Linked DNA regions of Saccharomyces cerevisiae S288C. The protein of the gene in region 1 binds, or shares a complex with, the protein of each later gene. Each region holds a gene or a part of one and is shown in the gene's direction. Other genes may lie near its edges. The genes, in order: TEX1, HPR1, THO2 and YRA1.

Region 1 (6,124 bases):
AGCAGATGCTATTTATAAAGGTTTGGAATAAAGGTTAGTTATATAGATTAAATATGTAATTCTGTTTTGTAATAATTTTTTTTCCTGTTTCATAATAAAGAATCGTTAAAAATAACCAAGGGAGGAAACAAGTGAAATGAAGTATAGAAAAGATATAGAAAATAAACTTAAATATTCAGTTTACTTGTGCTTCTTTTTTCCCCTCTATGAAATATAGCATGATAAGTGATTGTTCCTTTGTTTTTTTCAGTGGATGTTTCACCTAAGCCTTTGGACAATCCTTGGAAATATGGCCAGTTTCGTTACAGTTGTAACAAAGCCTGTCATTTTGACAGTCCCTGGACATGTGGCCAGCTTGACCACAAGTGTAACATTTCAATCCACTAATTCCGTCCTCTTTCATACAGTCCTTAGCCATATGGTTTGGACCACCACATTTATAACATGAAACTTTGGAGAATCTGCTGGTCTTCTTTGGTTCAGGGCATTCTCTGGAGATGTGGCCGGTTTGGTTACAGTTGAAACAACGTTGCACAGTACATTCACTTCTAACGTGACCGGTTTCACCACAATTGTAACATTGCTTGAATTCAACTGTTCTTGGCATGGTACAATCCGTTTGAACGTGACCGGGTTTGTTACAGTTGTAACATAGTCTTTCAGAATCACAGTCTTCTGCCAAATGGCCAATCTTACCGCAAACGTAACAAGCTTTTTGAGACATCTTTTTCGTATTCTTTTCTTTTTTCCTGATTTCTGAAGGGAAAGCCTTAAAATAATACAATCCTCAAGTGCCCCCAAAGCAGAAAGAGCATTTCTAATCCATCGATGACCTTATTACAACTCTTGCCAAAAGAGAAAAGGAACGAAAAGAAAATTTTTTCAGCATTTCGTCTATCATGACACCACAGCAGTTCTTACTATAAAGCTCAAATCCCTAAGCCATAAAGGCAACAAACGGCAATATACTACCTGTTTAATCGTGCGTATCCAGTCGCCATCTCCTGCTGGAATAGTTATGAACATCGAGTTTCAGTTCCCGCAGACGGTCTTCCTCTATGGCAGCTTCCCATTGCTCAATTGGATCAGAGTCGGCTACTATGATACCGTATTCAACTGTATCCTCGAGTAAGTCATAGGCTAGCATCCTTAATTCGGGATCGTAGTAATATTCCTTCTCGTTTAATTGTTGCTTTGGATGTTTATTCGGTGTCTTCGACGAGCAAGATTTATTCGAGAGATTTAATTGGTAAATACAAAAAGACGTAAGGGTTTCTGGAGCCAAAACGTAGTTACAGAAATCTGTTATCCCCCACCATTTTAAGGTTGCGGGCTGATTGTGCGTGAGTGCCCTTTTATATCTCTTAGCGATTTCTTCGCCAACCCTCAATTGCCTTTTCAGGCCGTAAAATCCAGCAGTAAATTTGTTTAAATTCAACTTTCTAAACTCATCTACGGACAAGTAAGCCTTTTGTGAGTTTTTGAATGCATTTTTTGCTTCAAAATAGTATACAGACGATATCTTTCCCTCCAATATGTCCATTACAATGGGCATGAAGGGTTCTACTTCAGTGAGTAGCTCATCCGAAAACAACATGGGTGGTAGTTTGAACTTGCTCATGTATTCTTCCCTTACTTGAAGTTTTTTGATTATCTGCTCTTTAGAACTCAAACAACTTTGTAACGATAGCTTTTTATCCTCGGGAAATGAAGAGGAGAAGATTTGGTTATCTTCAACTGCCGATAGTTCTGCCTCCAAGAGTAATTTTTTACCGTCTAAAAGATTATTGTTCCTGCATTTGATAGACTCGATATCTTCATTTTTCAAATTCTGTATTAGTGGGATAGAAACGACCTTCTCTTCTTCTTTTTCTTTTCCTCTGAGTGCTGCATTCTTTGCGGCTTGTACTTCTGAATTTGGAAATGACCTCGAAAGTTTATCAAATGTGGCCACAGTGGAAAGCTTTTTTACTTCAATCTCATCTTCTGTGATACTGTCTATTTTGCCGCGCTTTTTTGAGGGGGAAAAGGCATCATGGCCTGATAAGTCGTCACTTTCTCTATCATGTATGTCATGTTTTCCTTGTCTTTTCATTAACAGTAAGTTATCACCACTTCCCTTTTTTGTGGAATAAACACCTTTTCTCCTCACTCGATTAATTCCCAGACCAGGCCCAACCATCTCTGTCTACGCAGGTCAAAAATTTGTGCTAAGGTCTCGAGAGCACATACAGTACCCTTTTAATGTGATCTCATCGCTACATTTTTCAAAGCTTCCCATTTTAGCGACGCCATCTATATATAGGAAAAAAAAAAAGTTTAGGACGCTATTTACCACAACAATTGAGATGCAGCACAAATAGGAGTATCATTGCCTCCCAATTTTCAAGGGAGTTTTCAGAGAATTACTATTCCATACCTATTCAATTACTGGAGTTGTCTTCAGTATCATAAAGGGTTTTGGATTTTCAATCGAATTGCCATTTTTTTCCTGCTTACGTTCGATAGATAGCCAAATGCAGTTTATATATATGTATGTAGACTTGAAGGTATATTAACAGTGCCCATGTTTCTTTGGAAAGTGTCAAATATCGCAAAGCATAACCTTGAAGGTTAACATTATTTTCTAGAAATACACCTTTCCCACTGGATATGATGACGGAAGAAACAAAACGTTAAATTATTGTACCGTTGTATAAAACAGTAACCGAGCATGGACAATTCATTTTTACACCCCAACGACGCCACTAACCATGTATAGGTGTCTTGCCTAACTTATCATTATTCATAGTAGAATTAAGAAAATTAAAAGCCTTGCACCACAGGTTACGTACATAAGATATTATGTTAAATATATATCTCTTCAGTATTTCTACGTACAAAGCTTCACTCATTGAGGTTTGATTGGTGTACAGCTACATACATAAAAAGGATCAAGTGAACTATTCGGCATGTCGACAATTGGAGCTGTTGATATTCTTAATCAAAAGACCATAACTTCTGAAGTGGCTGCCTCAGTGACTTCAAAATATCTACAAAGTACGTTTTCTAAAGGTAATACAAGTCATATCGAAGATAAAAGGTTCATTCATGTCAGTTCGCGTTCTCATTCAAGATTCACCTCGACTCCCATAACTCCAAATGAAATTCTTTCCCTAAAATTTCACGTATCAGGTTCATCGATGGCGTATAGTAGAATGGATGGGTCATTGACCGTTTGGTTTATTAAAGATGCAAGTTTTGACAAATCTGTAGAAGTTTATATTCCAGACTGTTGTGGTTCCGATAAATTGGCTACTGATTTGTCCTGGAACCCTACTTCTTTAAATCAAATAGCTGTCGTGAGCAATTCATCAGAGATATCCTTACTCTTAATCAACGAAAAATCGCTAACGGCATCCAAATTAAGGACCTTGTCATTGGGAAGCAAGACTAAGGTCAACACATGTCTTTATGATCCATTAGGAAACTGGTTATTAGCTGCCACCAAATCTGAGAAAATCTACTTGTTTGATGTGAAAAAGGATCACAGCTCTGTCTGTTCTTTGAACATCAGCGATATAAGCCAAGAGGATAATGACGTTGTGTATTCCTTAGCATGGAGCAATGGTGGAAGTCATATATTTATTGGCTTTAAGAGTGGTTATTTGGCCATTTTAAAAGCAAAACATGGCATATTGGAGGTTTGTACCAAAATTAAAGCACATACTGGTCCTATAACCGAGATCAAAATGGACCCATGGGGAAGAAACTTCATTACTGGGAGTATCGATGGGAATTGCTACGTATGGAATATGAAGTCACTATGTTGTGAATTAATAATTAACGATTTGAACTCTGCGGTAACAACACTAGACGTCTGTCATTTGGGTAAAATACTAGGAATTTGTACAGAAGATGAAATGGTATATTTCTATGATCTTAATAGTGGTAATTTACTCCACTCTAAATCTTTAGCCAATTACAAAACCGATCCCGTTTTGAAGTTTTATCCTGATAAATCATGGTATATCATGTCAGGCAAGAATGACACACTATCAAATCATTTTGTTAAAAACGAAAAAAATCTAATAACTTATTGGAAAGACATGTTCGATAACACGATGATTGAAAAACGTAGGAAAAACAACGGTGGAGGCAACAACCACAATAAAAGGACGAGTAAGAATACTGATAGGATTGGCAAGGATAGGCCGAGTAGATTCAACTCAAAAAAATAAGTTACCTGATGGAAGGAATGCGGTAGAAAATGCACATTCTTTTTCTTTCATTTAATGATATTTACATGTGATTGACGACAACCTAATATATAAATATATATGCACGCATATATTTTGTATATGTAACGTTAAAAACGCATCTGTTTTTGTGATTTCAATTATCCGCTAAAAGAAATTCTGTTTTGTTAAAGTAATCTTTTGGTACATATTCACTGATCTCACCTTTTGTCAGCCAAGCAAAATCCTCGAATGCATCATTTTTCGACGCCACCAAATCAAATTTTCCAGCCAAAATGTGTGACTTCACAATAAACTCAGCAGTCCTATTTCTCTCGTCCTGCAAAACACCTATGGGCGTAGCAGAAACAGACCAAGTGTATATCTGATCACCGCTCAACAATTTCAATTCGTTCTCTGCGTGTACGTGTAACGGCTTAGATTCATCAGAAAGATCGAAGTTAGGGAATTTCCAAGTACCGCTTTTATCCTTAACCAAAAGATATAAGGTCCTGCTCAATTGTCTTTCAAGGCTCTTCATATCATTTGACCTATCTGCTTCCGTTATCCTGTCGTTGGGAATCACGGGCCTATTAACATCGTCTTTGCTTTGCTCTTTTTGATTGTTGCTAAATGCTACTGTACTGTCATCAGAAAGTTTAACTTCTTGCTTAGTACTTCTTTCTCTGCCATGTTTAATGTCCGGTATGCCTCTAGGAAACCAAATGCCATTTTTTTTGGAGATAGGTCCTTTCTGCAGGGATAGAAATTTGTGTTCTGCTACAGTACCCTTTTTGAAATAAAAATATGCCGGAAACGTCCACATTAGTCTCTTTTCTAGTTCTGATTGGTACTCATAGTATTTTTTCTCTAGTTCATTTAATTCTGATTTAATTATAGGGATTCTTGACAGTAGTACTCCGACTTTAATCTTGGGGGGAGCGGAACTGGCAGTTGCAGTTGCAGTAGCAAGCCCTCTTTTCAACATTAAATTTACCTTCATGGTACTGGATAAGCGCTTATGATTACGTAGAATATAAAGTTTATTGATTGTTTAACTGTTTTCTTTCCTTTTTTTTTTTTCATTTTCATTTTCATCTAAACCTTGAAAAAAAACCAGGAATACGGTAAAAAAAGAGAATAAAGAATAGGATAATGCTACATTTGAAACACAGTAGTTATGTGAATACATAAGGATGTCCATTTAACAAAAAAAAAAAAGGAACATAGGAAAAAACAGAAATTATATATAGAGGTAGATTAGTTTTATGTACTATGAGCAAATAAAGGGTGGAGTAAAGATCTTAGCTTTGTTGTTGTTGCTGCTGCTGTTGGTTAAGCATATTCATCAAAGAATTCAATTGAGCAGTGGGGTCAAATTGTTGCTGAGGTACAGGGGGAGCCGCTGCGGCAGGTCCCTGAGAAGGTAATGGTTGGTTGGGGGCATAACCATACGGTTGCTGCATCATAGGTTGCACATATTGCTGTGGTGGAGGAGATGCCAATGGTGCATTGCCGTAGGGTACTGGAGATATCGACGATATGCTACCAGATTTGTTAGGTTTACCAGAACGTGGCCCATTTCTGCCAGAATCAGTAGGCATCTTTTGAGATATTGCCTTGGAAGAAACACCTTCACCAACGATAATATCCGGTTCTTCGAAAACAATACCGGTAACGAGAGGTTGACCAGAAGTGCCACCCCATTGCGCACTTACTGACCATTTTTTATCAGCGTCCGTGAGCCTGTGCATAGGAATAATACTGTAACCGTGTTGATAGTCACAACAATCTCTTGGACCAAAACCAACTCCCCACCTAGTTCTCAATGGCAGGGCTCCATCTTTATTGAAGTTTTGCAAAACATTTTCGGCCTCATGTCTTGAATAAACTTTCACAAAAGCGTG
Region 2 (7,140 bases), on another chromosome or scaffold:
GTAACAGGATACTGGCACATGTTATTACTTGGAATAACGTTAGTATGAAACCCGTTTGTCCGGAATACCAAATGCCTTCGTAGGTGTGTCTAATTAGAATATTTATTAGTTTAGCAAAATTACCGAATGTTTCAAAAAGCCAATAGAATAAAAGTACCGTATTGGCTACAACTGATCTATCGTATTCTATCCAGTGTAAGGCTAAAGCAACAAATAAAGATAACATTGTAGAAGCATATTGACTTACAATGGTAAAGTTTTCCGCTTCTTCTTTAGAAATATTTAAAGACGCAAGTGAAACAAACGCTATCTCCAACAGAACTAGTGCCATCCTAGAGACAATAATCCAATTCCGCCTATATTTGATGCCAGAGTGTTTTTTCTTGCAAAGGTTAACTAAATCTCTGATACCGAAGGTTATCATGAAAATTGCTGATAGATTTAGGATCACACCGTCGATGAAGCATTGAGTAAAGTCACCGTAAAAGGATATAGGTCCAAACCCTTCAGGAGATCTACAGAGCTTGCAGGCCCATGAAACAAGATTACCAGCCATTTTCTTGTTCTTTACGGTAGTACGATACCCCTAATTTATTCTCAAACTGTTAATTGAAAAATTGTAGGTTGTAAACCAGCTTCCACATAGCAGATGATCACAAGAGGTTATCGCACCTTTTATAGCAGCTGCTAACTTTTTTCATCAATTTCGTAATTACTAAGCCGTAACCTTCCACCGCCCAAGCATCACACCAGGAGTTACATATTTTTGTATTATCATAAAGAAACACACGCCAAGATATCTACAGAAACCAGATGTTAGCATTAGATATATATATTCGTATTGATGCAGCATAACAAGCGTACTATGGATTGCAAAGTAATGTAGATTCCTGACCAGTAGATCTGCTCGCGCAAGAGAAACATTCATGAACTCTAACGACAATAACAGTAAATCCACCTCACGGAGAACGATAAAAGTCTTCATTTCTCCATGAGGTGGAAACGTTGTTTGAATATTAAACATAATACTTGAACTTCTTGTGTAATTTTTATTTTTTAATCGAAGTCTACTCCGAAGTCTCCTATAAAGCGTAAGGCGCGTCTCCAAAGTGCTATTTTTCAAGATCAATTCAGCTTCAAAGAAGCTTTGATACCTACGGGGCAATGCAAAGGCTGCCAGTCGAAACAAACAGCGAAAGCTAGCCCATAATTTCTTGAGCTGTTGATTTTGATTGTGATATTTTTCATACTTTAGAAGAAGATATGCGTGCGCACAGAATCGATACATTTCTCATAAGAGAAAACATCAAACTGGAGATCATACATGAATCGAATTCCTATTTTGGTGGAGAACATATATCAATTGCTTTCCGATTTAAGCACCTAGGCTCACAGCATGAATTGTTCAACTATAAAGAAAAGCTTCTCACTGTCGATAAAGCTGTTGAAGAGAAGTTGGAACAACAAGCGAAAGTGCAAGATGATGGTGAAGGCACGATGGAAAATCAAACCTGGTCCCTAAAATCATTACTAGGTGCCTTCAAAAGAACAGGCGAACCTGAAGAGAGTGTGGATGTGGATAACATGAAAATGCTAAATGAGAGTAAGATGTTAAGAGAAAAAATACAGAAGCAAATGTATTTTCATCAACCTGTAACGTTAATATCCGGTTATGTTCAAATATCGGGGGTCTTTCAATACGATTCAGAGGTAATTTCAGAGTCAAAATTTAAACAAGATGAAGTAAAAATGGTAGGACTAGATATTGTACCTGGACATACGACAAATTCTGTTCTTGCATTGGAAGATGGAGAACATTTCAAAGGTAAAAGAAATTTAACCAACTACCTCAACTCAGATTATACAAATGTGACCAATGGTCTTCTTTTCTCAGAAAGCGGTTCTAGGGGAAGAACAGGTACCTATAACGAACGGACCTTAATGATATCAAACGATACCAGTATAAAAACATTACCTCTTCTTTTAATACCACAGACGCTTTTATTTTCTGAAATTTCTTTAGAACCAGGTGAAGTAAGAACATTCTATTTTAAATCCACAAAGCTGCCAAAAGATATATGCCCAAGTTATTCATCGTCAAAAGTGGCATCAATAAATTACACGCTGGAGGTTGGTGCGGATGTACTTTCTGATGATAATATCGAGAAATTTTCAAATAGAGTCCCAATAACAATAGCACCATATATTAGTTCGAATGCCGAACAGTACACATCACGTCTGGATAAGCCTGCTATCATATTAAAGACAGGTAACATAAAGGAACTAAAGCCACGTTTGTTTACTCGAAAAGTTTCTACGGCTTCTGCTGTATCATTTGGTAGGAGAAAATCTTCTATAATTGACATTGATTCTCCATTAGAAGATAATGAATTTGTCAAGCGTGTCAAAAAAAACTTCATTGAACTGGTGGAATCTAACCAAAATGTGTCAAGAGATATAGACGAACTTATTGACTTGCAAATGGGGGTACAGTTCGGAAAGGATGAGGATTCTTCGGATCCTGAACCCAACGACTCACACTTTTCGAACGAAATGGTGACGTCTGCAGAGTCTAGCCTGAGAAGCGATGCTGTAACTAAGAGGAGAAAAAGTTATTCGGTACGCGATAACATTTCTAACCTCGAGCAAAAGATGTGGAACGATTGTTCTCTCGTTAAGTCAGATGAGAATTCTAATCTTCTACCTCAGCTAATTAATTTACAGAACGCATATCAAATTAACAGAAATAATGAGACTATGGCAAAAGTATCCTTATCAGCACCTTTTTATAAGACAACTGATGATATAAATTTAGTCATTGAATTAGATCCGATAACGACGCCTTTACTTAAAGTGACTTCGTTGACTGTATCCTTAGAATCGTTTGAAATTATAAATCCAAAATATAAGACTGAAGGAAAAGGAATAGGGAGCAAACCAAAAGGAAACTCGGTGTATGAGAAACATTTTATTTGTTTCGATGAGTGCAAGTCCGTATCGGTGAAATTACTTCCTCCAAGATCGCCTACAAACCAGATTACCGGACAATTCAAGACAGATGTTTTTCAACATAAGTGGATGATAGGACTAAAATTTGTAATAATTGCAAAGACAGAAAGTATCACTTTGGATCAATTTTATGAGGATAAAAAGGGCATCCTATTCCATTCAAAAGAGAATTTAGAAGGTGAAGAGTTTACATGTTACGTTCCCATTCCAATACTGTGTACATCCGAAGATTTCATGGGATGGTAAGCAATAAATGGGTGCAGTTTACTCGTATAATTGGTTTTGCATTTGAATCCAATCCAGTAAAGAGGATTTACTATACTCTCTTCATAAAGGGTATGTACAGATACATTTATAAGTTAGTTAACCGGCTTTATTGTCGTAATAGTCATCTCTTGATGTCATGGGTTGCTGTCCGTGCGATTTCAAGACTGCTCATTTCGCACGATGCATATTGCTTCTCTAATGACATTTTTCGTTAGAATGATCAGGTTTTTGCCATAGCTTGATCAGTAAATTAATAGATGATTTTAACAATTCAAGAGGCATTAAAACTTGGGCAAAGGAGTAATAATGTCTAATACCGAGGAATTGATCCAAAACTCAATAGGTTTTCTCCAGAAAACTTTTAAAGCACTCCCAGTTTCGTTTGACTCCATTCGACATGAACCACTTCCATCTTCAATGTTGCATGCAAGTGTTCTCAATTTTGAATGGGAACCGCTCGAAAAAAATATTTCGGCAATTCATGATAGAGATTCTTTGATTGACATTATACTTAAAAGATTCATTATAGATTCAATGACAAATGCTATTGAAGACGAAGAAGAAAATAATCTTGAAAAAGGGTTACTAAATTCGTGTATAGGTCTCGATTTTGTGTATAACTCAAGATTTAATAGATCTAATCCAGCTAGCTGGGGAAATACCTTTTTCGAGTTATTTTCCACCATCATTGATTTGCTAAACTCACCATCTACGTTTTTGAAGTTTTGGCCCTATGCTGAATCACGTATCGAATGGTTCAAAATGAATACATCTGTTGAGCCAGTATCATTGGGGGAGAGCAATTTGATTAGTTACAAACAGCCTTTATACGAAAAGCTGCGCCACTGGAACGATATTTTAGCTAAATTAGAGAATAATGACATCCTTAATACCGTCAAACATTATAATATGAAATACAAACTAGAGAACTTTTTATCCGAGCTACTACCTATAAATGAAGAATCGAACTTCAATAGATCCGCTTCTATTTCAGCTTTACAAGAATCTGATAACGAATGGAACAGATCAGCACGTGAACGAGAAAGCAACCGCAGTTCCGACGTTATATTTGCTGCAGATTATAACTTCGTGTTTTATCATCTAATTATTTGCCCGATCGAATTTGCTTTTAGCGATTTAGAATATAAAAATGATGTGGACAGATCATTAAGTCCCCTTCTTGATGCAATCTTGGAAATCGAAGAGAACTTTTACAGCAAAATCAAGATGAACAATAGGACTAGATATTCCTTAGAGGAAGCTCTGAACACTGAGTATTACGCGAATTACGATGTTATGACCCCTAAATTACCCGTGTATATGAAGCATTCAAACGCAATGAAAATGGACAGGAATGAATTTTGGGCGAATCTACAGAATATTAAAGAATCAGATGACTACACTCTTCGACCTACCATTATGGATATCTCTTTGAGCAATACGACCTGCCTTTATAAACAATTGACTCAAGAGGACGATGATTACTACCGCAAACAGTTCATTTTACAACTATGTTTCACAACAAATCTTATACGCAATTTAATTTCTTCTGATGAAACGAGGAATTTCTATAAAAGCTGCTATTTGAGGGAAAACCCGTTGAGCGATATTGATTTTGAGAACCTTGATGAAGTTAACAAAAAGCGTGGGCTCAATTTATGTTCATACATTTGCGACAATCGTGTTTTGAAATTTTATAAAATTAAAGACCCTGACTTTTATCGTGTTATCCGCAAATTAATGTCTTCTGACGAAAAGTTTACAACCGCCAAGATCGATGGCTTTAAAGAATTCCAAAACTTCAGAATATCTAAGGAGAAGATACCGCCACCCGCTTTTGACGAAACTTTTAAAAAGTTTACGTTCATCAAGATGGGGAATAAATTGATTAATAATGTTTGGAAAATACCTACTGGTCTAGATAAAATTGAGCAAGAAGTAAAGAAGCCTGAAGGTGTCTATGAAGCAGCCCAAGCGAAATGGGAATCAAAAATTTCTTCTGAAACTTCCGGTGGAGAAGCGAAAGATGAAATAATCAGACAATGGCAAACTTTACGGTTTCTAAGATCGCGATACTTGTTCGATTTTGATAAAGTTAACGAAAAGACTGGTGTTGATGGTTTGTTCGAGGAACCCAGAAAAGTGGAAGCGTTGGATGATAGTTTCAAAGAGAAACTTTTGTACAAAATCAATCAAGAGCACAGGAAAAAACTTCAGGATGCTAGGGAGTACAAGATTGGAAAGGAAAGAAAGAAGAGGGCACTGGAAGAAGAGGCTTCGTTTCCTGAAAGAGAGCAAAAAATTAAGTCGCAACGTATAAACAGCGCTTCTCAAACAGAAGGAGATGAGTTGAAGAGCGAACAGACGCAACCAAAGGGAGAAATATCAGAAGAGAATACCAAAATAAAAAGCTCGGAAGTTTCTTCGCAAGATCCTGACAGTGGTGTTGCCGGGGAGTTTGCTCCACAGAATACAACAGCTCAACTAGAAAATCCAAAAACAGAAGATAACAATGCAGCTACTTCGAACATTTCTAATGGTTCATCTACCCAAGATATGAAATAAATTATCCTCTTAATAGAAATTTTAAACTGATAAGAAATTCATGCATAGTGTCCCAAACAATTCAGATAGATTTTAGCGTACCACAGAGATCCTATCAGAGAGTAATACTTATGATGAAAACAAAAGTCAATCCATTCGGTTTAAAAAAATGACAAACCTATATTTGATTAGATTAATCAGGCGTCAATAACGTCCTTAGAAGTCCCTTTGCTAAGACTGATATCGTTGGCAAAAGCATGCTCCGAGTTTAGTATATACTTCCACTTGATAAAGTTGTAGCGCAAAGGATGCTTTTCTTAATGAGAAATTCGGTATACTACAAGAGGACATCCAATCGTGCTTACAAAATTGCCCTGGAAGACATGATTGAGAAGAAATGGCGAAATATGTCTTTTGGTCAGATAGTCTGTAATCGCATATAACAGTATGCTTGGTTTGCTCTTTATCACCACGCTTTTCCTCTCTTTCCAGCGCGAACCATGCAATGGCCAGCTTTATGAAATTTAAACCATAAAGTCATATGAGACCAGCAATCAGACCATATATAGCCGTACTATGCTATAACGGATAATTTGATAGATACTAAACAGTTTTAGTTCACATTTCTCGTCTAAAAACAATTAATTTATTATAACAGACTCTATAGACTAAATTGTATGTATTTTTTTTTTTGACAAATTGGGGGCGGTAGCCTTCCAAAGTCCAAGTGAACTTATGTTCGTTTTGTCTTCTTTTCTAATGAACACCTTCGATAAAATTCCATAAATGACGGAAAATGGTTCTAGTTACCACCTCTTAGTGTTAATACCAAGTGGAGTTGCATTCCCTCTACTAGATGTGCATCCGTTACTGTTAATTTATCATCACTATCCTGGTCGTTAGTAAGGTCTCAAAAACGTAAATAAACTTAAAAGATAATTAACCACTGAATGAACATACATTTGTTTTCCCTGGAATATAAGTCTTTGTTGAGATGGTGGAATCCCTTCTTTTTCCTCCAAAAGTTCCTTGATGTGATATACGAGATCTGATTCCTTCAGCTCAACAGAGATCTCCTTCCCAGTCAGTGTCTTCACTTTAACAATCATCGGTTACGGCTGTAAGGAAGTTAATTACCTTCCTTTATTTATTCCTCTGTCGGAATACTTCATTTGAATAACAGAATTTTGGTTTTTCAGCTAAAAGTTGTTCGTTTGCCTTCCCGAAGACGCCATCGGAATTTGATTTCATATAAATATTGATATAATTATACTCTGAAATATAATATTGATAAACTTAACACAGGGTGAGAAAGGTGAA
Region 3 (9,722 bases), 190 kb from region 1:
TACTTCCTGTGGAAGAAACTGTAGAGGATTGACGTAATTCAGGATTTTTGTGAGTTTGTTGGGATTTGTCTACTTTTTTCAAACCCTTAGTGATATTTTCACCCTGATTTAGTTCGGCGAAGACCGCGCCAATACCGCCTTTGTTAGCATCACTACTCGTTGCTGGTGTATCATTAGAGATTTCAAAGACGGAAGCTGGTGGGGCTGGTGGAGGAGGTGGTGGTGCTGGAGCCGCTGTAGCACTTGCTGGCGAAGGAGATGAAGTAGCACCTGTATTCTTCGTTGATTGTGCCATCGCGTCAGCAAAATCCATACCGTCTTTTTTCCAGGAAACCCCAGTAGTATGATACTCTTTAATGTAGGCTTTCAAATTATCGAAAGAGGCCAAAAATTTCTTAACCCATTCAACAGCATTAGGATCAGACTCTCTGTATTCTTTCAAAATTCTATTAGTCCAAAACTGTGCTGCGTCCTTGAAATCTGTGACCATAGACACGGGAGTGTCCACTGCAACCCAGGAGAACAAAGGAGCACCCTCAGATAAAGCGCTCAAATATGCGAAGTATTTGCTTTGACGGTTTGATTCCTTCAATTGACCCAGCTTTATAATATTTTCGTTGATAGGTCTTAAAGAATCAGCGAAAGTTTGAGAAGAATAATCCGGTTTTCTTGATCTCACAGCAGCTCTTAAAAAAGTCAATTGCGATTGAAAGCCTCCCTTTAGCAACTGCAAAGCATCTAAGACCACCGTGTCGATCTTTCCTGATAATTCTACCAGCGGATCAATATTCTCACCGATGTAAGATTGGAACGCAGTTATGCATTTCGGATCTTGTTCTACTTCAGGAGCATTTTCTGCAGAAGGTTCATTCGTAGTATTCGCATCGGCCCCGGAGTCGGAAGGCTTGTTATTTTTAGATGCCTCCAATTTATTCTGAATATAACCTTCTTGATAGATGGTGACATCCTCTAATCTTGCAGTGGCTTCTTCTAGCCTTTTTAATAGCTTAACAAGGTTATAACCTTGCATTGTGTACTTAGAGTCAGGCATGATTCGATTTCACACGGTTGCAACTTGGCCTACTCAATTACGAAAAGTTTCAAGCTGAGTTTTCCCCTATACTACCAAAAGATTTCACTTCTAAATCCCTGTTTATGACTTCACGCGACATGTATAGATCATTTTAAACGATATGAATTGTATACTGTCCCAACATTTTATATCTTTATATAAACATCAAGGTTAATAATGTTCGACAGTTACTAGAATCAATGCCTAAAAGGTTACTGACTGAGTGTGATCTCTACCATAAATCTTGAGAACGACATACGAGGCGTAATTTTATGTAAAAATTATTTATGGATGTGGCTTCAACGTCCTACCTCTCTTCTCGTAAGTAGGCTTTATAGCCAGGGGACATGGATTTCAGGAGGTGAATACGAGTGTCACGTATACTAAGGTCTCCTCGGCTCAATGAAACGTACTCCAAAGATGCGGAGTGGCCTTGTAATGTATTTAGTGTATCGTTTCTCACATTTCTCTGCCACTGTTCTCGTGTAGTGCTCTCATCTCCCAGTCCGATGTACTTTTGTTTGTATATCTTCTGCAACTTCAACTGCCTCTGCTTTTCCGCCTGTTTTGAGTATTAGCATTACGTATAAGCCGCACGGACTTGCACGATTCATCGCAAGCGTAGTTAGTACCATGGTAAAGATGATTTCAATTCAAACTAAAGCGCAATAGAACGTAACATACCATTTCTTTTCTTAATTTCACTGTTTCGAATTGTGTAATATAACCATTTTAGCCACTATTTACATGTTCTGAATGAGAAGGCTTATGTTCTTCTCTTCTTCCCGGGTGACAACGCTAACTTCGGCGTAAGATTTTCCGCTATTTCTTCAATAGCGACATAACGTATGAGAGTTTATGCCCAGGGAACACGTTGATTTAGAAGCAAACACTGTTGCATAAATTATAGGGCTGTGATTTTATCGTCTTTATCTAAAGCATAATAGGGTGAAACGGTTTCAGTTGATACATATTCGCACCAGTATACATTTTCAGGACTTTATGGCAGAACAGACGCTACTTTCCAAATTGAACGCTCTTTCTCAAAAAGTGATACCACCAGCTTCCCCTAGTCAGGCAAGCATTTTAACGGAAGAGGTGATACGAAACTGGCCTGAACGATCAAAAACTCTCTGCTCCGATTTCACTGCACTGGAGTCAAATGATGAAAAGGAAGACTGGTTGAGGACTTTGTTTATTGAACTGTTTGATTTCATAAATAAAAACGATGAAAATTCTCCCCTCAAGCTTTCTGATGTTGCATCATTTACTAATGAATTAGTGAATCATGAAAGGCAAGTGTCCCAGGCTTCCATAGTTGGTAAAATGTTTATCGCCGTCTCAAGCACTGTTCCAAATATAAATGATCTAACAACCATATCATTATGTAAACTAATACCGTCGTTGCATGAAGAATTGTTCAAATTTAGTTGGATATCCTCTAAGCTGCTCAACAAGGAACAAACCACCTTATTAAGGCATTTGTTAAAAAAGTCAAAATACGAACTGAAGAAATATAACCTTTTGGTAGAAAATTCAGTGGGTTATGGTCAATTGGTAGCCTTATTAATATTGGCGTATTATGATCCCGACAATTTTTCCAAAGTGTCCGCATATTTGAAAGAAATCTATCATATTATGGGGAAATATTCCTTGGATTCTATTCGTACTTTAGATGTTATTTTGAACGTTTCTAGTCAGTTTATCACTGAAGGGTACAAGTTCTTTATTGCTCTTTTACGAAAGTCGGATTCTTGGCCATCTAGCCATGTAGCTAACAATTCCAATTATTCTTCTCTTAATGAAGGCGGTAATATGATTGCAGCAAACATTATTTCATTCAATTTATCGCAATATAACGAAGAAGTCGATAAGGAAAACTATGAACGGTATATGGATATGTGTTGCATTTTACTGAAAAATGGGTTTGTCAATTTTTATTCTATTTGGGATAACGTTAAACCAGAGATGGAATTTCTACAAGAATATATTCAAAACTTAGAAACTGAACTGGAAGAGGAGTCCACTAAAGGCGTAGAAAATCCCTTGGCTATGGCAGCTGCTTTGTCCACTGAAAATGAAACTGACGAAGACAACGCCCTTGTTGTAAATGATGATGTTAATATGAAGGATAAAATCTCTGAGGAAACAAACGCTGATATAGAATCAAAAGGCAAGCAGAAAACTCAGCAAGATATTTTATTATTTGGTAAAATAAAACTCTTGGAACGCTTACTCATACATGGTTGCGTTATTCCCGTGATACATGTGTTAAAGCAATATCCGAAAGTGTTATATGTTAGTGAATCCTTATCTAGATATTTGGGAAGAGTATTTGAATATCTTTTAAATCCATTGTACACATCAATGACCTCATCTGGTGAATCAAAAGATATGGCAACTGCTTTGATGATAACCCGTATAGATAATGGTATTCTAGCCCATAAGCCAAGGTTGATCCATAAATATAAAACTCACGAGCCATTTGAATCCCTTGAATTGAATTCAAGCTACGTCTTCTATTACAGCGAGTGGAATTCCAATTTGACTCCTTTTGCTTCTGTAAATGATCTATTTGAAAACTCGCATATCTATTTATCTATCATAGGACCGTATTTGGGGAGAATTCCTACGCTTTTGAGTAAGATTTCACGTATTGGGGTAGCTGACATTCAAAAGAACCACGGTTCTGAGTCTCTGCATGTTACGATTGATAAGTGGATAGACTATGTAAGAAAATTCATTTTTCCAGCTACCTCGCTATTGCAGAACAATCCAATTGCCACATCGGAAGTTTACGAACTAATGAAATTTTTCCCTTTTGAAAAAAGATATTTTATTTACAACGAAATGATGACGAAATTATCCCAAGATATTCTACCGCTTAAGGTGAGCTTCAATAAGGCCGAAAGAGAAGCGAAGAGTATTTTGAAGGCTTTGAGTATAGATACAATCGCAAAAGAGTCCAGGAGATTTGCCAAATTAATCTCTACAAATCCATTGGCCTCACTGGTACCAGCAGTTAAGCAGATTGAAAACTATGACAAAGTTTCTGAGCTTGTTGTTTACACCACGAAGTACTTTAACGATTTTGCGTATGATGTATTGCAATTTGTATTATTGTTACGCTTAACTTATAACAGGCCTGCTGTTCAATTTGATGGTGTTAACCAGGCCATGTGGGTCCAGAGATTATCAATATTTATTGCAGGTTTGGCCAAAAATTGTCCCAATATGGATATCTCAAATATAATCACCTATATTTTAAAGACGTTGCATAATGGGAATATCATAGCAGTTTCTATCCTAAAGGAATTAATTATTACAGTCGGGGGCATTAGAGACTTAAACGAAGTTAATATGAAGCAACTATTAATGTTAAACTCAGGATCACCATTAAAGCAATATGCAAGACATCTCATATATGATTTTAGAGATGATAATTCGGTTATTTCGTCGAGGCTAACCTCATTTTTCACTGATCAGAGCGCTATTTCTGAGATTATTCTCCTGTTATACACTTTAAACCTGAAAGCAAATACGCAAAATTCTCATTACAAAATTTTATCCACTAGATGCGATGAAATGAATACATTGTTATGGTCGTTTATTGAGTTAATTAAACATTGTTTGAAAGGGAAAGCATTTGAAGAGAATGTTCTCCCATTTGTAGAATTGAATAATAGGTTCCATTTATCGACACCGTGGACTTTCCACATATGGAGAGACTACTTGGATAATCAATTGAACTCAAATGAGAATTTTTCTATTGATGAATTAATTGAAGGTGCAGAGTTTAGCGATGTTGATTTAACGAAAATATCAAAGGATCTTTTCACTACTTTTTGGAGACTTTCATTATACGATATCCATTTCGATAAATCACTATATGACGAGCGTAAGAATGCACTATCCGGAGAAAACACGGGCCACATGTCAAATAGAAAAAAACACCTGATTCAGAATCAAATCAAGGATATTTTGGTTACTGGAATTTCGCATCAAAGAGCCTTCAAGAAAACTTCAGAATTTATATCTGAAAAATCAAATGTCTGGAACAAAGACTGCGGGGAAGATCAAATTAAGATATTCTTGCAGAATTGTGTTGTGCCAAGGGTTTTATTTTCTCCTTCAGATGCTCTCTTCTCTTCGTTTTTTATCTTTATGGCTTTTAGGACAGAAAATTTGATGTCGATATTGAATACTTGTATTACATCAAATATTTTAAAAACGTTGCTGTTCTGTTGTACTAGCTCTGAAGCAGGCAATTTAGGTCTGTTTTTCACTGACGTTCTTAAAAAGCTTGAAAAAATGAGATTAAATGGCGATTTCAACGACCAAGCTTCTCGAAAGCTTTATGAATGGCATTCAGTAATTACCGAGCAAGTCATTGACCTTTTATCCGAAAAAAATTACATGTCAATTAGAAACGGTATTGAATTCATGAAGCACGTCACTAGTGTCTTCCCTGTAGTGAAAGCTCATATCCAGTTGGTTTACACAACTTTAGAGGAAAACTTGATAAATGAAGAAAGGGAGGATATTAAACTACCAAGCAGCGCATTGATTGGCCATTTGAAAGCGCGTTTGAAGGACGCTTTAGAATTGGACGAATTCTGCACCTTAACTGAAGAGGAAGCTGAACAAAAGAGAATACGTGAAATGGAATTAGAAGAGATCAAAAATTATGAAACAGCTTGCCAAAATGAACAAAAGCAAGTAGCTTTAAGAAAGCAGTTAGAGCTTAATAAGTCGCAAAGACTTCAAAATGATCCACCCAAAAGTGTTGCAAGCGGCAGTGCTGGATTAAATAGCAAGGATAGATATACTTATTCTCGTAATGAGCCTGTAATCCCAACAAAACCTTCTAGTAGTCAATGGTCATATTCCAAAGTCACCAGGCACGTCGACGATATAAACCATTATTTGGCCACGAACCATTTACAAAAGGCAATTTCCTTAGTAGAGAACGACGATGAAACTCGGAATTTAAGGAAATTATCTAAGCAAAATATGCCAATATTCGACTTTAGAAATTCGACTTTGGAAATATTCGAAAGGTACTTTAGGACACTCATTCAAAATCCTCAAAATCCAGATTTTGCAGAAAAAATTGATTCGCTTAAAAGGTATATTAAAAATATCTCGCGCGAGCCATACCCAGATACGACTAGCTCATATTCTGAAGCTGCTGCTCCTGAATATACCAAAAGATCAAGTAGGTACAGCGGAAATGCTGGAGGCAAAGATGGTTATGGTAGTTCCAACTATAGAGGACCAAGCAATGATCGTTCTGCACCCAAAAATATTAAGCCAATCAGTAGTTATGCACATAAAAGGTCAGAACTACCAACTAGACCTAGTAAAAGTAAAACATATAATGATAGAAGTAGGGCACTTAGACCCACAGGTCCGGACAGGGGCGATGGTTTTGATCAAAGGGATAACCGCTTACGTGAAGAGTATAAGAAAAACAGTTCACAACGTTCACAATTACGGTTTCCTGAAAAGCCATTTCAAGAGGGCAAAGACAGCAGCAAAGCCAACCCTTACCAAGCTTCATCTTACAAGCGCGACTCGCCTTCAGAAAATGAAGAAAAGCCGAATAAAAGATTCAAGAAGGATGAAACAATTAGAAACAAATTTCAAACGCAAGATTATAGAAATACACGAGATAGCGGTGCTGCCCATAGAGCCAATGAAAATCAAAGGTACAACGGAAATAGAAAGAGCAATACTCAGGCGCTTCCGCAAGGTCCCAAGGGTGGGAATTACGTCAGTAGGTACCAGAGGTAATTACTAGTACTTAACATACCCGAGCTGAATTTTAACGTGTACTTTGATAGTTCCCGAATTGTAATCTCGTGAAATACAAAAGGTCCAGCTAATGCTCGTATAATCACTCAAATAAGTTTGTAGAATTCTATTGTATCCTTTCCCACACAAAAGGGGATGTAAAAAGCATCAAAAACATCGAATGAAATTTGTGCATACACATAGTGTTATAAATTTACAAAAAAGCGCTTATGAATCGAAAAAGACTTTCAACAAAAATATTATACAATGTCTTGCAAATGGTACTAATGCGAATATTTAGTGACTACTTCGTCCACTCTACTTAACAAACCGTTCTTTCTTTTATCGTCACACCATGAACCTTTAATGGCGTTCTTAGCGATACGACCCCATGTTTCATGGTCCCAGTGTGGGAAATCTTTCGAAACTTGAGTGTAGACATCTAAGATATAACCACCAAAATAGGCGGGGTCATCAGAATTTAAAGAAAATGGAACATCTCTGTCAAGAAACTTTTGTAGTGGTAACTCTGAAACGGATTGGACTACTTGTAGCTTCACGTTGGAGAGAGGACAAATAGTTAGCATGGTCTGGTCGCGCGACAACCTATCCAATAACTCCTCGTCGTATTGACTGTTGATACCGTGATCGATTCTTGTTACTTGCAACAAGTCTAAAGCATCCGAGACGAATTGAGCGGGGCCTTCTTCACCTGCGTGTGCAGTTAGTTTTAAATCTTTATTCAATGAGGCGGCCTTTCCGTAACATTCAACAAATAAATGTGGGGGAAATGGTTTCTCAGCAGAATCTAATCCTAAGGCAGAGATAGTACCATCTTTAATAAATGGGGTAGCTTCTTCGATAGTTTTCAAACATTCCTCTGGTTCAATGTGTCTTAACAGACACATAATTAGCTTGGATGTAATACCAAATTCAGAGAAGGCTTTGTCACAAGCTCTTTGGAAACCTTTAGTGACTGTTTCTATGGAGATGCCCCTAGATGTATGTGACTGAGGGTCGTAAAACACTTCAGCATGGACCAAGCCTTGTTTGTGAACTTTTTTAAAATAGGCCCACGCCAAATCAAAGAAATCTTGTTCACTAATCAAGACATTAGTACCAATATAATAGTAATCTAAGAAATCCTGCAGATCACGAAACTTCTTATACTTTTCGTTTAATTCCTCGACCGATTTAGGAAAACCTTCAGGTAGAATTATATCGTTTCTTTTAGCTAATGGGAACAATAGGTCAGGTTCTAGAGTACCTTCCAAATGCAAGTGATGCTCACATTTTGGTAACTCCTGTAAAAACTCCACAGAAACCATTATTTTTTTTTTCTTTTCTTTTGTTAGTTCTAATGGTAGTTATTATTTCAAAATAACTATAAATACACAGGCCTGCTTGTCAATTATTCATTTGCAAAAGATGTCGCTTTCATAAGCCTTATATGTTAATTTTTTTCAATCTTCGTTGGCATGCGATGAGGTCAGTTTCCTGCGCCATTTCAGTGCAGTTTCGAGAATTTTAAGATTCAAAAAAAAAAAAAAAAAAAAAAAAAAAAAAAAAAAAAAAAAAGAAAAGAGATGGAAACAGTGAAAGATAAGGCAAAAAGGAAGTATATCAAGGTTTTTACATCAAAATATGTCTTCTATAAGCGATGAAAATTTGCAACCAAAGCAAAATAAACCTTGTGCTCTTTTCCTGTTAACAGCATATATAGGGTATATAGAGGCTTTCTTAAAGAAAATTTCTTGCTATCATGCTCTGGAGATGCTGTATATTATAGTGTGCACAGTTAAAGTCATCGATTATGATAATAACATAAGACAAGAGAAGTAATACTAACGTCTCCCCTCATCATTCGGAGTTATCAAAAAAAGAAAATATATCAAATATTAAAAATAAAATTATTAAATGAAGCGTTACATAAAGATTAAACATAAAATCATAGTCTGCTTGAGTATATCATTATACTATATGGTCAGTGTTCTTAGTAGAAGAAGCGTCGGAAGGCGTAGAATTCTTTTCTGCGTCTGTGTTACCCACAATCTTATCATCAATGTTTTCATGAGGAGGTGGCATTTGTGCCGATGTTTTAGATCTGATTGGTTCTGGGATGTAAGCAGTGGATTCCTCGTATGTAAATTCACCAATTTGAGCAGCGTCGGTACCTAATTCTTCCTCATCAGCACTTAATCTTAGTTTTAAAAATGGAATGGCATTCATAGTTAGAAGCAAGATAGATGTGACAGTAACAGTCCAGGCTAGTGCAGCGCATATACCTGCTAATTGATAACCAACTTGTTTATAGTGATGATTGATCCAGCCACCATCAATTGGACTAATGTAAGAGCCTGCAGTGGCATTTACATAGTCTGCAGCAAAGATACCAGTTAATACAGAACCAATACAACCACCCACACCATGGATAGAGTAACAATCTAGACCATCATCGATGCGCAATAGACTCTTTAAGTCAACAGCAAGGTTACATCCTGCACCAGTAACCACACCAATGACAACGGCTGACCAGATTGGCACGAACCCGGCGGCTGGGGTGATACCCACTAGGCCAGCGATGATACCTGAACACAAACCAACTGTAGTCCACTTTCTTCCGCATCTGAAATAATCGATAACCATCCATGTCAAGCCACCGCAAGCAGCAGCTAAGTTTGTGGACATAATAGAGTACCATGCTCGTATAGTTGCATTACCTGCAGAGCCTCCGTTAAAGAACATCCAACCAAACCATAAGAACACTGTGCCTAAAACCACCGAGGTGACGGAATGTGGTTTGTACTTGGGCATCCCTTTACGTGTAACAGGGTCATTACGCTTACCCAGTATC
Region 4 (5,999 bases), on another chromosome or scaffold:
AAATCTGATATAAAACATATTTAACTGATCAACCCTCTCAACTTGATACTCAAAACAAGTTGACGCGACTTCTGTAAAGTTTATTTACAAGATAACAAAGAAACTCCCTTAAGCATGGCACCTGTTACAATTGAAAAGTTCGTAAATCAAGAAGAACGACACCTTGTTTCCAACCGATCAGCAACAATTCCGTTTGGTGAATACATATTTAAAAGATTGTTGTCCATCGATACGAAATCAGTTTTCGGTGTTCCTGGTGACTTCAACTTATCTCTATTAGAATATCTCTATTCACCTAGTGTTGAATCAGCTGGCCTAAGATGGGTCGGCACGTGTAATGAACTGAACGCCGCTTATGCGGCCGACGGATATTCCCGTTACTCTAATAAGATTGGCTGTTTAATAACCACGTATGGCGTTGGTGAATTAAGCGCCTTGAACGGTATAGCCGGTTCGTTCGCTGAAAATGTCAAAGTTTTGCACATTGTTGGTGTGGCCAAGTCCATAGATTCGCGTTCAAGTAACTTTAGTGATCGGAACCTACATCATTTGGTCCCACAGCTACATGATTCAAATTTTAAAGGGCCAAATCATAAAGTATATCATGATATGGTAAAAGATAGAGTCGCTTGCTCGGTAGCCTACTTGGAGGATATTGAAACTGCATGTGACCAAGTCGATAATGTTATCCGCGATATTTACAAGTATTCTAAACCTGGTTATATTTTTGTTCCTGCAGATTTTGCGGATATGTCTGTTACATGTGATAATTTGGTTAATGTTCCACGTATATCTCAACAAGATTGTATAGTATACCCTTCTGAAAACCAATTGTCTGACATAATCAACAAGATTACTAGTTGGATATATTCCAGTAAAACACCTGCGATCCTTGGAGACGTACTGACTGATAGGTATGGTGTGAGTAACTTTTTGAACAAGCTTATCTGCAAAACTGGGATTTGGAATTTTTCCACTGTTATGGGAAAATCTGTAATTGATGAGTCAAACCCAACTTATATGGGTCAATATAATGGTAAAGAAGGTTTAAAACAAGTCTATGAACATTTTGAACTGTGCGACTTGGTCTTGCATTTTGGAGTCGACATCAATGAAATTAATAATGGGCATTATACTTTTACTTATAAACCAAATGCTAAAATCATTCAATTTCATCCGAATTATATTCGCCTTGTGGACACTAGGCAGGGCAATGAGCAAATGTTCAAAGGAATCAATTTTGCCCCTATTTTAAAAGAACTATACAAGCGCATTGACGTTTCTAAACTTTCTTTGCAATATGATTCAAATGTAACTCAATATACGAACGAAACAATGCGGTTAGAAGATCCTACCAATGGACAATCAAGCATTATTACACAAGTTCACTTACAAAAGACGATGCCTAAATTTTTGAACCCTGGTGATGTTGTCGTTTGTGAAACAGGCTCTTTTCAATTCTCTGTTCGTGATTTCGCGTTTCCTTCGCAATTAAAATATATATCGCAAGGATTTTTCCTTTCCATTGGCATGGCCCTTCCTGCCGCCCTAGGTGTTGGAATTGCCATGCAAGACCACTCAAACGCTCACATCAATGGTGGCAACGTAAAAGAGGACTATAAGCCAAGATTAATTTTGTTTGAAGGTGACGGTGCAGCACAGATGACAATCCAAGAACTGAGCACCATTCTGAAGTGCAATATTCCACTAGAAGTTATCATTTGGAACAATAACGGCTACACTATTGAAAGAGCCATCATGGGCCCTACCAGGTCGTATAACGACGTTATGTCTTGGAAATGGACCAAACTATTTGAAGCATTCGGAGACTTCGACGGAAAGTATACTAATAGCACTCTCATTCAATGTCCCTCTAAATTAGCACTGAAATTGGAGGAGCTTAAGAATTCAAACAAAAGAAGCGGGATAGAACTTTTAGAAGTCAAATTAGGCGAATTGGATTTCCCCGAACAGCTAAAGTGCATGGTTGAAGCAGCGGCACTTAAAAGAAATAAAAAATAGAAACTTGTGGGCGCAATTATAAAACACTGCTACCAATTGTTCGTTTTCTGTTCATTAACACATAAAAAACCCTTATGTAACTATATTTACAAAGTAAATACGTATATTAAAGCTATTTTACCACTACCACAGAGTTCTTTGTCCAGTTGCTAGTATTTTTTTTTTCGCGACGAGGCAGGGGCGGGGAGACGTGTTGTTTTTCCACGGCTTTCGGCTCACCACTTGAAGAACTATAAAAGGCCGCCAAATTTATCCTTTTTCACTTCTTCCGTTCGCTTTTTTCTGTCATTCCTATCGTGTGTTTAGTAGTAGGTTTTTTTGTTAGAAGAAGTTTTATCCGAAAACTATCGAAGACAAATAGATAAAAAAATCTCCCTCGTTCTATTTGAAACTTTAAGAAATCCATATTAAGAAAATACCTACATCTGCTAAATGTCTGCTAACTTAGATAAATCCTTAGACGAAATCATTGGCTCTAACAAAGCAGGAAGTAATAGAGCCCGTGTCGGTGGTACTCGTGGTAACGGTCCAAGAAGAGTTGGTAAGCAAGTTGGTAGCCAACGTAGGAGCCTTCCAAACAGAAGAGGCCCTATCAGAAAAAATACTAGGGCACCTCCAAACGCAGTCGCTAGAGTTGCCAAGCTCTTGGACACCACTAGAGAGGTCAAGGTCAACGTCGAAGGTTTGCCAAGGGACATTAAGCAGGATGCTGTAAGAGTATGTTAATACGTGAAATGAGAGCTATTTGTTTAGTTACTCGCATCGTCTCGTGTGGATACGAGAAATATTCTTTGTAAGGAAGGATATGGCACACGCTTTTGATCAAGAATTCTCTTTTTAGAGATGAAGAAAGAGTCCGAAATACTTCGCTAGAGAAAATACAAAAAGAGTATCGTTTTCATAAGCCAACCATACCAATTTTTTTCAATACTTCAAATCATGGCCTATAAGGTTGGAATTACCAGCTACCACTGAGAATGGGTTTGTTCTTATTGGCTGGGTTAACTCAAATCAATCTGACTATCTGCTAATCTGTCAATCTTACATTTTTAAGCTGGCGTATTGTGTCGCCTCGACCGTGATAGTTAGTTCCTATTTTTAATAAGCGTATCATCCAATACTGAAGTTGTGGAAGGATCAATTAATTTTGTATCCTTTCAAGAGGGAGTAGCTTTCAGTTTCGAATGGCACCATTTTCAAAAAATAGCTATGGGAAACATGTCTTTCATGAACGTTCGAAAAGATATGAGTGCATCGCTTCATTTTTTTATTATGATAGTTACAAAAATATTTGATTTGAGACACCTAATGAAACCAAAGAGGAACTCACCCATCGTGGTACATGTTTATTTGAGGGTTTATTTTTCCTACGCAATGGTATACTTTTAATACTCTCAACTCCTTGATTGTTTGTGTATTGTCCCTTCCTTCTTTGATTTTATATCATAGAGATATATGACTAACTTTTTTTTTTTTATTATAGGAATTTTTTGCATCTCAAGTAGGTGGTGTTCAAAGAGTTTTGTTGAGTTATAACGAAAGGGGCCAATCTACTGGTATGGCTAACATCACATTCAAAAACGGTGAATTGGCCAGAAGGGCTGTTGAAAGATTTAACGGCTCTCCAATCGATGGAGGCAGATCAAGATTGAGACTTAACCTAATCGTTGATCCAAACCAACGCCCAGTCAAAAGTTTAGCCGACAGGATCAAGGCTATGCCACAAAAAGGCGGAAACGCTCCAAGACCAGTAAAGAGGGGTCCAAATAGAAAAGCTGCTATGGCAAAATCCCAAAACAAACCAAAGAGAGAAAAGCCTGCTAAGAAAAGTCTTGAAGATCTGGACAAGGAAATGGCGGACTATTTCGAAAAGAAATAATTAATTGTCAATTTTTTGTTTGATTTAATTTGGTTTTATTAAATTTAATTTTTCCGAGTTTCATTATGTATTAGTTTCCAGAAAATTTAAAGGATTAAAAAATGTATTAATAAAACTTTGATATGTTTATGTAATAATATTTACCACCGCCACTAGGTGACGCTAACCTACTCATCGGTGACGGCTTTTCTCACTTTTAAAGTTTATTCGGCATATTTGACTCATAATATGTCACTATTTACAGTGCGATGAATATATATATACATAATACTGCATTGAAAAAATGGATAGGTTGATTAAACGTGTGTTACTCGTTTCTCCTCCTATCTAAAAAACCTAATTTGTCACCTCTTTTTCTTGTTACAGCACTAAGCCCGCTACCTTCATATTTACTCTTTCTTACTAATTGATGGTCCTCAGAGCAATCAATGTTGTCTCCTCCATCTTTAGGTATGGGGAACCCTGGTTTGACTTGAGCAAGGTTATCATAATAGTTTTTTTCATTCACTTCACCATTGTTTCCCCGCGCCTTTGGTATAAATTTAGCATCTCTTCTAGCTTTCACTATGGTCTTGACCACATAAATAGACGCAATCCCGGCTGCAGAAATGTATAGTAAATTCTTACTGTTGAAATCGCATTGGTAGTGTTTTCCTACTTTCGTCTTCACTTTGGTTATATATATGGTGCAATCAAACTCTGCTTCAAGGGATAGGCCAATAAGGAAATAACCAAAAAAGAAGTCCGGGAAATAGAAAAAGATATCCAATGTTAGTTTAGGCTTTACGAATAGATGTTTCCCTATTTCTTTTACACATACCCTATATTTTGAAATGGATTTGACATTGTATACTTAGTACGGCTCAAAGAATGAAATATTACTATATTTATCTCTTCATCTGCCTTGATTTTTTTATATGCAAGCAGGACGCTCGGGTTTGTAAGGAGGAAGATTGAAAAGGATGTCTTCAACTAAAAGGCGAAGAAGGAAGCGACACATTTGTGATGCTTTGAGGTCAGTAATGTAATATATATATATATATATATATATATATATTATATAGTGTAACTGCTCTTATTTATCTTGTCTATTCGAACCCAACAAAAAAGGCTGCAGTGGGAATCTGTTCATGTGGCTGTATCACAACCAAGGGCTACCGTTTAAGAATACTGGAGAGCTCTTGTCGTCTCTAATTTTATGATCACGTGCCCATTCTAGTCATTACGCAGGTAATGCGAAAATTACAGTATGGATCGTGTAAAGTTACCAAGCAGAAAAATTGTAATAATTTTCTTTTTCCAAATTTTCTCGGTATCTGAAATTTTTCATTTAAGAGATGATATTTGGACTTACTCTAAACTATTACTTTACGTATCTTTGATTTAACTTCCAGTTACAGATCGTTAAGGAATAGTCCGCGAATTTATTACCGCTTAAACTGATTATTTCAAATATAGAAAGTAATATCTATTAATCAACAACAGAAATGAAATACTTAGCTGCTTACTTATTATTGGTTCAAGGTGGTAACGCTGCCCCATCCGCCGCTGACATCAAGGCCGTCGTCGAATCTGTCGGTGCTGAAGTCGATGAAGCCAGAATCAACGAATTGTTGTCCTCTTTGGAAGGTAAGGGCTCTTTGGAAGAAATCATCGCTGAAGGTCAAAAGAAGTTCGCTACTGTTCCAACTGGTGGTGCTTCTTCTGCTGCTGCCGGTGCTGCCGGTGCTGCTGCCGGTGGTGATGCTGCTGAAGAAGAAAAGGAAGAAGAAGCTAAGGAAGAATCTGATGATGACATGGGTTTTGGTTTATTCGATTAAGGAATTTAATTAATAAACAATTTTCTTGTTTTCCTTCATTTTACAAAATCTGGTGTAAATCCTCGATTCCATTGTGATTTAAAAATAATTAATTACTGTATAAGATTCTATATAGACAATTAATTGAAAATAGTATTACTTCTTTAACTCGCTTAGGATTTTTTTTATTTTTTCTCTCTTTTCCGGAGAATTGCCAAATGTTTTCACGGCCTCTTCCAATAATAGCTTCATTTCTTCCAACGCAACTACTAGTTTCCCATTGTAAGTGGCGAAGTACT

The links.
Region 2: the proteins of TEX1 (region 1) and HPR1 are in contact, whole or in part, in a cryo-EM structure (PDB 7V2W), measured with the Saccharomyces cerevisiae proteins. Residues at the interface, in NP_014146.1 of Saccharomyces cerevisiae: Lys13 (codon at 2,988), Thr14 (codon at 2,991), Trp264 (codon at 3,741), Asn372 (codon at 4,065), Ile374 (codon at 4,071), Trp377 (codon at 4,080), Lys378 (codon at 4,083), Lys388 (codon at 4,113); in NP_010422.1 of Saccharomyces cerevisiae: Glu318 (codon at 4,534), Tyr324 (codon at 4,552), Tyr325 (codon at 4,555), Ala326 (codon at 4,558), Asn327 (codon at 4,561), Asp329 (codon at 4,567), Ile466 (codon at 4,978).
Region 3: the proteins of TEX1 (region 1) and THO2 are in contact, whole or in part, in a cryo-EM structure (PDB 7V2W), measured with the Saccharomyces cerevisiae proteins. Residues at the interface, in NP_014146.1 of Saccharomyces cerevisiae: Thr14 (codon at 2,991), Ile15 (codon at 2,994), Thr16 (codon at 2,997), Ser17 (codon at 3,000), Ala20 (codon at 3,009), Val73 (codon at 3,168), Ser74 (codon at 3,171), Pro122 (codon at 3,315), Thr123 (codon at 3,318), Leu125 (codon at 3,324), Glu207 (codon at 3,570), Ser218 (codon at 3,603), Asn219 (codon at 3,606), Gly220 (codon at 3,609), His223 (codon at 3,618), Cys246 (codon at 3,687), Ile249 (codon at 3,696), Lys250 (codon at 3,699), Ala251 (codon at 3,702), Thr253 (codon at 3,708), Pro263 (codon at 3,738), Trp264 (codon at 3,741), Gly265 (codon at 3,744), Arg266 (codon at 3,747), Ile273 (codon at 3,768), Asp274 (codon at 3,771), Gly275 (codon at 3,774), Asn276 (codon at 3,777), Tyr278 (codon at 3,783), Trp280 (codon at 3,789); in NP_014260.3 of Saccharomyces cerevisiae: Tyr453 (codon at 3,431), Gly460 (codon at 3,452), Glu461 (codon at 3,455), Asp464 (codon at 3,464), Met465 (codon at 3,467), Thr467 (codon at 3,473), Ala468 (codon at 3,476), Leu469 (codon at 3,479), Met470 (codon at 3,482), Ile471 (codon at 3,485), Arg473 (codon at 3,491), Ile474 (codon at 3,494), Asn476 (codon at 3,500), Leu479 (codon at 3,509), Arg484 (codon at 3,524), Ile486 (codon at 3,530), Tyr489 (codon at 3,539), Leu498 (codon at 3,566), Glu499 (codon at 3,569), Leu500 (codon at 3,572), Asn501 (codon at 3,575), Tyr504 (codon at 3,584), Thr544 (codon at 3,704), Lys548 (codon at 3,716), Arg551 (codon at 3,725), Asn590 (codon at 3,842), Asn591 (codon at 3,845), Pro592 (codon at 3,848), Ile593 (codon at 3,851), Lys653 (codon at 4,031).
Region 4: TEX1 (region 1) and YRA1 share a complex: the UniProt entries of both Saccharomyces cerevisiae proteins name them as parts of the transcription/export (TREX) complex.

The regions. Positions count from the first base shown.
Region 1 is NC_001146.8:167,067-173,190, forward strand, and holds TEX1 (Tex1p), read left to right. Parts: upstream 1-2,951; coding exon 2,952-4,220; downstream 4,221-6,124. Other genes in the region: trifunctional dihydropteroate synthetase/dihydrohydroxymethylpterin pyrophosphokinase/dihydroneopterin aldolase FOL1, read left to right, coding at 1-31; mRNA-binding translational activator GIS2, read right to left, coding at 263-724; RTC4 (Rtc4p), read right to left, coding at 977-2,182; mitochondrial 54S ribosomal protein mL46 MRPL17, read right to left, coding at 4,375-5,220; Nrd1 complex RNA-binding subunit, read right to left, coding at 5,522-6,124. UniProt on the Saccharomyces cerevisiae protein: Component of the TREX complex, which operates in coupling transcription elongation to mRNA export.
Region 2 is NC_001136.10:726,996-734,135, forward strand, and holds HPR1 (Hpr1p), read left to right. Parts: upstream 1-3,582; coding exon 3,583-5,841; downstream 5,842-7,140. Other genes in the region: ATP-binding cassette glutathione S-conjugate transporter YCF1, read right to left, coding at 1-556; RGP1 (Rgp1p), read left to right, coding at 1,264-3,255; NEDD8 family protein RUB1, read right to left, coding at 6,623-6,707, 6,781-6,929. UniProt on the Saccharomyces cerevisiae protein: Component the THO subcomplex of the TREX complex, which operates in coupling transcription elongation to mRNA export. The THO complex is recruited to transcribed genes and moves along the gene with the elongating polymerase during transcription.
Region 3 is NC_001146.8:358,070-367,791, reverse strand, and holds THO2 (Tho2p), read left to right. Parts: upstream 1-2,074; coding exon 2,075-6,868; downstream 6,869-9,722. Other genes in the region: SRV2 (adenylate cyclase-binding protein), read right to left, coding at 1-1,051; U2 snRNP complex subunit YSF3, read right to left, coding at 1,380-1,634, 1,757-1,759; YNL140C (uncharacterized protein), read left to right, coding at 6,306-6,875; AAH1 (adenine deaminase), read right to left, coding at 7,153-8,196; ammonium permease MEP2, read right to left, coding at 8,840-9,722. UniProt on the Saccharomyces cerevisiae protein: Component the THO subcomplex of the TREX complex, which operates in coupling transcription elongation to mRNA export. The THO complex is recruited to transcribed genes and moves along the gene with the elongating polymerase during transcription.
Region 4 is NC_001136.10:1,234,104-1,240,102, forward strand, and holds YRA1 (RNA-binding protein YRA1), read left to right. Parts: upstream 1-2,454; coding exon 2,455-2,739; intron 2,740-3,505; coding exon 3,506-3,901; downstream 3,902-5,999. Other genes in the region: phenylpyruvate decarboxylase ARO10, read left to right, coding at 115-2,022; COI1 (Coi1p), read right to left, coding at 4,209-4,527, 4,722-4,747; ribosomal protein P2 RPP2B, read left to right, coding at 5,389-5,721; NKP1 (Nkp1p), read right to left, coding at 5,857-5,999. UniProt on the Saccharomyces cerevisiae protein: RNA-binding RNA annealing protein. May have a role in pre-mRNA metabolism. Component the TREX complex, which operates in coupling transcription elongation to mRNA export.